2 linked regions of the Drosophila melanogaster genome follow. The protein of the gene in region 1 interacts with the protein of each later gene in a pairwise test. Each region holds a gene or a part of one and is shown on either strand. Other genes may lie near its edges. The genes, in order: CG2812 and Tpc1.

What was found.
Region 2: the proteins of CG2812 (region 1) and Tpc1 interact in a two-hybrid assay, tested with the Drosophila melanogaster proteins (one large-scale study listed by BioGRID).

Annotation. Positions count from the first base shown.
Region 1 is NT_033778.4:23,923,484-23,927,643, reverse strand, and holds CG2812 (uncharacterized protein), read right to left. Parts: upstream 2,409-4,160; 5' UTR 2,256-2,408; coding exon 2,220-2,255; exon of another isoform or gene 2,063-2,219; coding exon 1,905-2,062; exon of another isoform or gene 1,836-1,904; coding exon 1,433-1,835; exon of another isoform or gene 1,368-1,432; coding exon 1,144-1,367; exon of another isoform or gene 1,084-1,143; coding exon 858-1,083; 3' UTR 733-857; downstream 1-732. Other genes in the region: kcc (kazachoc), read right to left, coding at 2,735-2,826, 2,889-3,028, 3,095-3,228, 3,550-3,642.
Region 2 is NT_033777.3:10,878,876-10,883,996, reverse strand, and holds Tpc1 (thiamine pyrophosphate carrier protein 1), read left to right. Parts: upstream 1-1,808; 5' UTR 1,809-2,434; intron 2,435-2,890; 5' UTR 2,891-2,992; coding exon 2,993-3,991; 3' UTR 3,992-4,425; downstream 4,426-5,121. Other genes in the region: CG14696 (uncharacterized protein), read left to right, coding at 83-450, 510-1,041, 1,105-1,463; CG14695 (uncharacterized protein), read left to right, coding at 4,724-5,121.

The sequences.
Region 1 (4,160 bases):
CCGGGTGCGACATGTCGATGTGAATGTAGAAAAGAACAATTGCTGTACATTATGGTCTAGTACATTGCCATCGCACTCGCCGGCATAACCGAGAAAACACAGATTTGAAATTCAGCATGTAAGATATCTAAACGTAAACGAAACAATAAAACAAGAAATCCGAACCCGGCCTGTGTACTCTACTCTACTCAATTCAATTTCTCCCGCCCCGCCTCCAATCCAAGTAGAGAATCAAGCACACTCAAACATCTCCCCCAAGAAACTCCAAACCACTAGGCTGTAAGTACGATCCCCCACCGATGCTGCCAAATTCCAGAATTTCGGAAGATGCCGCTTAACTGGTACCCAGTGCCACTCCATCGCCATTTCCCCCACGAGTTTTGGTTTGCTCTTGCGTTGGTTAATCCCTCCCTCCGATCGAGAATCGCCACGTAATAATCCGTATTCGCCCCGAAATTGTAGTTCCTGATGTCGTCGTCGACAGGATGTAGAGGTTTGGACCACCAAAGCCGATACGAATGTGAAAGTGAATGTGAAGGAGGACGAGTTTTCCTGCCTTTATCATTCGTGTATTAATCGCTAAGCCAGCCCTGTTACTTGCAACTGCAACATTAAATCCAACATAAATCAATTTATTTGCCTTAGAAAGTAAAATATTAATGGAACTGTGGGTTAGTAAGAACGGATTTAAATAAATATATACCAAATATATAAATTAGAACGGCCCTGTTTCATTTTCCTTTATCTGTTGGAATGGGTTTATTCAATAAATTAGATCAGTCTGAACTATTCTGCGGAAGTACAATATCGACAACGAATTTAAAGCCGCCACTGGACCGGAACATTGGACCACGGAGCTACGAGGGCGGCAGCGCCCAGAGGGTGGCCGTCTTGTCCGCCGACGTGGAGATGAAGGAGAACTCGGTCGGATGCCATCGGATGGTGATGGCCTTGTCCTTGTGCTCCGCCACCACCACGGAGGACAGCTCGTGGGCCAGGTCGCCTTGCAGGTCCGTCAGCCGGATCGAGTTGTCGTAGCTGCACGTCAGCATGTAGTAGGCGGATGGGGAGAATCGGACGCACCTTTGGGGAAGTGAAAGCCAATTTTACCAAATGCCAAGCGGGAGAGGATAGCTCTACTACCTTATTTCAGCGGTGTGCGGATAGAAGCGCTGAATGGGCCGGTTGCCACGGATGTCGTACAGAGTACAGGAGCTGTCAGCGTGCCCAGAGACTAGCAGCCTGCCGGTGGGATCTACACAGACCGCGGTTACAGCGGAGCTCTCCAGACCACCATCCTTTCGATCGTTATCCAGCGTATTCACAGAGACATTCACTCGCAGATCCCAGAAACGTATCGTTTGATCCTGAAAGAGATCATCGCATATGGTTATAGCTGGGACAGGCTGGGAAGGATCTTCCCCCGACTCACCTGCGATCCCGACACGAACATCGCGTTGTTCCAGCTGTAGAGGGACAGGATGTGGCCAGTATGACCACTGTAGGCCTGGAAGGGAGTGCCGGTTCCGCAGTCTGTGATGTAGATCTTGCAGTCCCCGGCGCCGCCGCTCGCCAGCAGCCGGGACTTGGTGGACGAGTCGTCCAGGAAGCACATGTCCCGCACCGTGCCGTCGTGCATGTTCAGCTCCATCTCGTGTCCCACCAGCTGGTTGGTGTCGTTGTTGAAGCGCATGTACTTGATGGTCTTGTCGTTCGATCCGGTGGCAATTAGCTCCCCATCCCGTGACCAGCAGGTGCAGTATATGGAGCCCCGATGGTGTTTCGTGCGCTTGCAGAGAACGGACGGGGGATACACCGCTGCCTGGTGTCCATGTCTGCATGGGATTGGGATGGGAAACGAGTTGAAGGCAAAGACGAGTTGCGACACACTGCGATTTAATTACCTCAGCTTGGACAGCGCGGGGTACTGGCAGATGCGGAAGGTCTTGGAGTTGGAGCCCACCGCGTACAACTTTCCATTCGGATGAAAGTCGACGCTCCGGATCGCCTGCGAGTCGGACAGTGTGGTAACCGCCTCGAAGTGCGGCCTCTCGACATCGCCCTGTGGCAGAGAAAATGGTCAATCAATGAATGGGGTACATGTCACTCGGATCAACCCAGATGCATATGTTTAGATTCTTTTGTTAGCTGGATACCGAAAGTTGCTTGCGTGTTCAAAATAAACAGAGCCACCTTCGATGGCAGGCCAGCACTCGCACCTTTCTCAAATCCAGGTCCCTCGATTCCGGATTCATGAATGGTGTATTTTCCGAGGATCTATACAGTTTTTCACACTTATTTCGAGTATTTTCTGGAGCTTGGATCGTTTCTGTTTCGACCACACAGTTTCTAAGCCATCCGAGGTAATAGAACGTACAACTCGCCACGGTTGAAATAACAAAAGTGGGGAGAAACCATCGAGTAGCAGTGTTGGTCAATCTGCCAGATGCATCTGATTTTACGTCGCGATTGTAGAAAGACAGGTAAAGTATCTTGCAAACGCTGTTTACTCCGTTTCCAAGCGACGCGGCCAGGGTATGTGTGTAGATGTAGACCAAATGATAAACGCCTTCGGTTCTTATTGTTACAATTTTTTGATATTTTATTTACGTAAAAATAAAATATTTGGACATATGATTGAATATAACAAATTAATAACCTTCTTTAAAAATTTGATTGATTCTTAAACTTGTCTAGTGTTGCGAACTCTTATAAAACTGAGCGATTAATGCTCTTAAGAGTAAATTGTTATAACTTCTCGGCCTCCTCCGCGAACCATTAACACTTTTTCAAGGCCCTCTGTTAATACCTCCAGAAATTCCATATCTACGGATTGGATATAAACGGGTTAGTTTGTGCCTCAGATACATTCCCCTTTCAGATCTTACAATTTCTTTCACGCTCCGCTCTCACTTCCCTAGGTGGTCCAGGTAGATTCATTATGACCAACTGGGCGTCCTGTGACTTTTCTACAATAACCTCGTTTAGTTTTATTGCTGTGTGCATGCGACGAACGTTGAACTCATCCCTGTGGAAAGAAATATAAGGACAATTAGGACACCGTAAAGTGGGCCATAAGAGAGCTGTTCCATACGGTTTCACACTGGACTTGAAGTCTCCGTCGGCTTTCTCTGTCGATTCATCCTTGTTAGAAGTAGTTTCGGGTGTGTCCGCGTTCTCGGGACCATCCAAATCAATTGAGTTACGTTTCTCGTCGTTTTGAGAATCCTGCAGAATTACAATTAGTCACATTATCAGATCTTTAGCGTGGCATTAGCCTTGAGTTTTGGATGACAAGTGCCGTCGACATTAAAAACTCAAAAGTTCATTTCAAATCAACCATGTTAAGAAGCCAAAATATCAGTTAGAACAAAACTCAAGATAACTCGGGAATGGATTTCGATTGCTACTGTTGATTATGCTTCAAAACTAAAATGTTTCAGGCTTACATTTGATGAGTCGTCGATCTCACTTAACTTTACTTATGTCATATGTGTATTTCGAGAGATAAGAGACAATGGTAAATAAAAATCTTAAGGCAGTACATACGTGATGCTGTGTTTCTTCTATAGTTGGATCGGCGAAGCGAACTTTAGACGCCGTTTTGGTGGCGTCATAATGGTGGTCTACAATTGTTTGAACCTGAAAATGTCACCATGAGGAGTATGAGAAAAGGTTGCGGAAAAGTGGGAGGCCAATATCAGAGGAGGGAGTAACTATTCTCGGGATGCAAACCGCAAAGCAGGAAACTCTATTTCAACTTTATTTCCCTATTGGTAGTTGAACTTATAGATGGGATCCAAAGTCCCAATGCTTTAAATTAAAATAAAGAATTTGATTGTAAAGATTACCGACAATTCTTAAGTACACTTGTTATTCGATATTTAAACTTTTATTAAATTTGAAAAACTCAATCAATTAAAGGAATATTAAAGTTAATCATTCCTGGGGAATGAAGAACCATATAAGACTATTTTTTAGATTATTGTAGAAAAAGACATTACTCAGAAGTACTCGGTGTTGAGAATAATTTGATAGAGTTATTATTGATAGAAGGGTGAGCATTAGCAACATCACATTGACACAACATATAAGGATTATGATAGGTATGGAGATGAAAGGAGCAGTTGCTCCCGCCGAGAAATGCACTGATGAGATAC
Region 2 (5,121 bases), on another chromosome or scaffold:
AGGTCCAAGGTCAATGGCAATTAAACTAAATGCATAATTGAATTACATACCCGGCAGTACAGACAAATTAATCCAATTGCAGCGATCTTTATAACCATAAATGGATACGGCGAGACGCGTTGGCAGGAAAGCGAGGAGCGAGTGGGAGAGGATGGGAAGACGACCAAGTCCCTGGTGACCCACACCACCACCGAGGTCTACTACAGCACTGACCAGCCGGTTTACGGCCAGGCCGGTGGCTCGCAGCTGGAGTTGCCCACCGGCAAGTACGTCTTTCCCTTCCGGGCTACCATTCCGCCCAATGCACCCACCTCATTCAATGGTGCTCATGGTCAGATTAAGCACGAGGTTACCCTAACCATCGATCGCGCGGTTCGCTACAACAACACATTTAAGCAGTGCTTCACGGTGATCCTGCCACATGATCTTAATAGGCGGCTCGAGTATAAGGTATGTAGTCTTGGTTGTTCTTCCAAACTGAATAACCTTATGAAGCGCACTTCCCTTAGGAACCCCTCCAACGCTTGGAGTCGAAGAGCTTCTGGTGGGGCTCCATTTTCGGTGCCCACAAGCCGATGATCATGGACGTGAGCACCTCTTATTCTGCCTACGTCCCCGGCCAGAAGATTCATTTCCATCTGGTGTTGGACAACCAGTCGGATGTCCAATGTATGGACGTGAAGGTGCGTCTGATCAAGAACGTCTCATATAGAGCCAACTCATCGGGCGCAAAGGAGCAGTTGAAGGTAACCGAATCTCGGGTGGCGGACAAGCACTGCGGTGAGGTGCTGAAGCACAACAAGGCCAAGTTCGATGAGTTCCTCACGGTGCCGCCAACTACTCCATCCACGCAAAGCGAAAAGGATCCCATTCGAGTTAGCTACACATTGCGATTCATCGCCAAGACCTTCAAGCTGCACGGTGGTGGCGACTTGGTCATGGACTTTCCAATAACCATTGGCACAGTGCCGCTGCTGGGAAGTGCTGATGACAAGGGGCCCGGGGCGGAGAAGTCCCAGCCCAGTGGTGCCTCTCATCCAGGTGGGTTTTGCACTAAAGAAAGCATAATCGAAAGTGTTATTAATCGACGTTTCTCCGGCTTAGGCTCACCCAACTTTCAGGAGGACGTCAGCGATGAGCAATTCGAGTCCAACACCTTTAAGCCAAGATATCCCGTCTATCCATTTGATGGGAAGCCTGGAACCAATGGCTCAAACGGGGCAGCTAATTTTCCCAGTCTTTATCCCAAGGCAGAGGAGGCGCATCCTGCTACGCCTGTGAAATTCACACCAAATCCTGTGTCGCCAGCCGCACAAAAATCGCCACCATATACGACCAACACACCTGTTGCTTCTCCGCCAGGCGGTAATTTTGAGGTGCTTGGATTCAGTATACCACCAGACTATAAACCCACGCCTAGTGCTCCAGCCGCCTCTTCCACTGGCGGCATTGGGTGGAAATAGGGACCATAACTTAACCATTTTGTATTCTACACCTTAAGGCATTTTTAAATATACAAGAAAGCCCGCATAAGTGGCAACGCTGTGCATGTGACAGCTATATTAATATCGATAGTTAGTATCATTTTAATCCTAAATGGCCTTTTATTAACTCGAGTATAAACATAGTGATCTGGTTTCAGGAATTATGCTTACTATTAAAAAATATTTATGTTCCCAATTAAGAAAACCCTAAAACTGAATTTTAGCTTCTAGCTATTTTCTTACTATTGTTGTCAACCACGATAGCCGATAGTTGCCATCGCTGTTCGCTAAAAGCTCATCGCCAGCGGCTCGAACAGCTGATTCCGTGCACTTGGCGACGTAATTTAGTTTGTTTTGTTGTTGTTGCGTAGAGGTTTGAAGCAGCGCGTCTTGAATTCGGAAAACCAGTTTGTGGAAGTGGGAAGCGGCCAACTTGGACAGCGGCAGCAGGGGATTGACACAACTGCAACGGCATCTCAACGGCGGCGCTATTACAAGTCTGGCGAAAAGAAAGTTTTGACGCAATCCACGGGCCGCCGCCTGTAATGAAGAAGCGTCGGCGCCGCAGTCACTGCTGCACTCTGCCCGCGAACGGACGCATCTGCTCCAGGTGAGCTCAGATTGTAGTGCGCTGCTCTGGACATTCAGCAACATCATCATCATCACCATCGAGCGTGTTGCCAATGCCTTTGTCTCTTTATCTGAGCAGCAGCATCGGAATTTTGGGAACTGGACAACGGTCGCCGAGACATCGAACAACAAAAGCGGAAAAAAGTGAAATCGCTGATAAACCCGAATACCAACCGAGCTATTGTCAATCAATGAACGGCCGTTTGAACCTGGAGTCAACTTGGGAGCTCTGCGAATTGGCGGGCAATTGGCCATAACCGACCGAGATAATAGTGAAGTAATCGCAGAGACATACGCACGCTCCGTGGAGCATGATACTTGTAAGTCTCATCCTCAGATGAATTCCACTCCTACTATTTCCCAATTCCTGTCTACGCACTTGTACACAACAATTTGTCCATCGACTTTGATGAATGTGTGTAAACAAGTCGAAGTTTGCGCCCTGCCGCACCTCTAAAACGTTTTGAATGAAAGCTACAGGCAAGCTTTGCTAAGTCGGATTTTCGAAAACTCCATCTTTGATACCAGTAAAACCTAGCATATTTCATTTTTATCAAGAAACAATCTTAAGCTTTCTTTTTAACAGCATCTACCTTGAATTTCACAAGAGTCAAGTAAATTACAAGTAACCTTCAAAACAAATTCTTTATGATAATATATAAGCTATACCTATTAGATCCAGCCTCATAGAAGTTGCTAAGTCCGAGTTAATAGTTGCATCTACATAGTTCCGACTGTAATAACGTCTCCACCTGTCTGCGTTTCTTTATTTTCAGAAATGCCATTGAAAAGTTGGCAGTCGCAGCAATAAAAGTGAAATCCGCACGAGCAAACATACGCACACGAAAAGCAAAACCAAAGGTAGCTCCGACGCAGACATGGCGGTAACCACAGGCTCCACCAGTGAGGCGACCACAACCACAACTCCCGTTCCGCGACGCAAGCACAGTACGCGGGAGCAGCTGCATCAAATGCTGGCCGGTGGACTTTCGGCGGCCATTACGCGCTCCACCTGCCAGCCGCTGGACGTGCTAAAGATCCGCTTCCAGCTGCAGGTGGAGCCGCTGGGCAAGAACGCCGCCAAGGAGGGACCAGGAGCCCTTACCTCCAAATACACATCCATCGGACAGGCGGTGAAAACCATATACCGCGAGGAGGGAATGTTGGCCTTCTGGAAGGGACACAATCCTGCCCAAGTGCTGAGCATAATGTACGGCATTTGTCAGTTCTGGACGTACGAGCAGCTCAGCCTGATGGCCAAACAGACCAGCTATCTGGCGGATCATCAGCATCTATCGAACTTCCTGTGCGGCGCTGCGGCCGGAGGAGCAGCAGTGATCATATCCACGCCGCTGGACGTCATCCGCACTCGTCTGATTGCCCAGGACACCAGCAAGGGATACAGGAATGCAACAAGGGCTGTGTCGGCGATTGTCCGCCAGGAGGGACCTCGCGGCATGTACCGCGGTCTGTCCTCCGCCCTGCTGCAAATAACGCCGCTGATGGGCACCAACTTTATGGCTTACCGCCTGTTCAGCGACTGGGCGTGTGCCTTCTTGGAGGTGAGCGATCGCAGCCAATTGCCCACGTGGACGCTGCTGGGATTGGGCGCCTCCTCGGGCATGCTATCCAAGACGATCGTGTATCCCTTCGATTTGATCAAAAAGCGACTGCAAATCCAGGGCTTCGAGTCGAATCGCCAGACCTTCGGACAGACACTGCAGTGCCACGGAGTCTGGGACTGTTTGCGGCTGACCGTGCGCCAAGAGGGCGTTAGGGGCTTGTACAAGGGCGTGGCCCCCACACTCCTTAAGTCAAGCATGACGACGGCCCTGTACTTCAGCATTTACGATAAGCTCAAGCAGGTGCGCTTCTAGGTCGGACTTGGAGTCGGGGTTAATGGCGTCTGAAAGCAATTGTGCGCCCAAACGGAATCTACACTGTATTTTCTATTTTTATATATATTTACCGCAGCGCGTAAATAATATTAAGACTTAGGCTAACTCTGTTGATTAGTTTTCGGTTGTGCGTATCTTTTCTGGGGGTTCTGTTTATCATAGACCAATTGACTTGGTCAGCGCTTTAGTACACACACGAATAGTTGGCGCACCAGTTAAGTTATAGATTGTATGTGCTAGGTTGTAGTTCATTATTCGGCAGAGCACCTCTATTCACAGACACATTCAAATTTTTATTTATCTTTTGTTTGATTCGCAAACGAAACGACTGCGCTGGCAGTTCATTTGATATTTAATTAATATTATTACACCTAAGTATTCAGGGAATTTAATAAATTTGACTACATCACAACAGTTTAATAACTTTTATTTTTAATGAGTATTGTCCCTGCCTCCTAAGATTTAATTCTTCATATTTTTCTCATAATCTTTAAGCTTAAATGTTTCTTCCAATTGGAATAATTAGTTTTATGAACATGTTATTGAGTTGCAGCTGTTAAACTCCAAACATAATCAATGTTAAGAAAAGCTCGCTGCTGTGAGCTTTTTTGGTTGTGAAATTTAAACGGTGATGCATGCAGTGTATAAAAGGAAATGTATCTTTGGGAACAACAATACAGTTACTTCAGCGATTTCCCGTCCGGAGAGAAAATGGCTCTTGTGAAGACGTACACCATCGACAATAACTCCATTCCATGGATTCTGTGGCTACCGCCATTAACGGAAGTGGATAGGAAATCGCCGGGTGGGAGGTTCACATTTGATGGGCCAAAGGTGGTGGCGTTTCACTTTGTTAAGAACCGGCACGGAGACACGTTGGACAAGTGGATAAGTCTGCTCGATGAGTTGGCACAGGAGTACGCCGGTCGTATATTGTTCGGATTGCGTGACATCTCCAACATCGGGGAGTTCAATCCGAACCTAAATCCCGACGACTTTGGCAGCTACCGGAAGGGATTGCCACCGCGAATCTATGGCAAGGACTGTGAGGGCCGAGTGTACGATATGCACAAGCTGGTCAACGCCAAATACCTGAGGGAGTTTTGCGA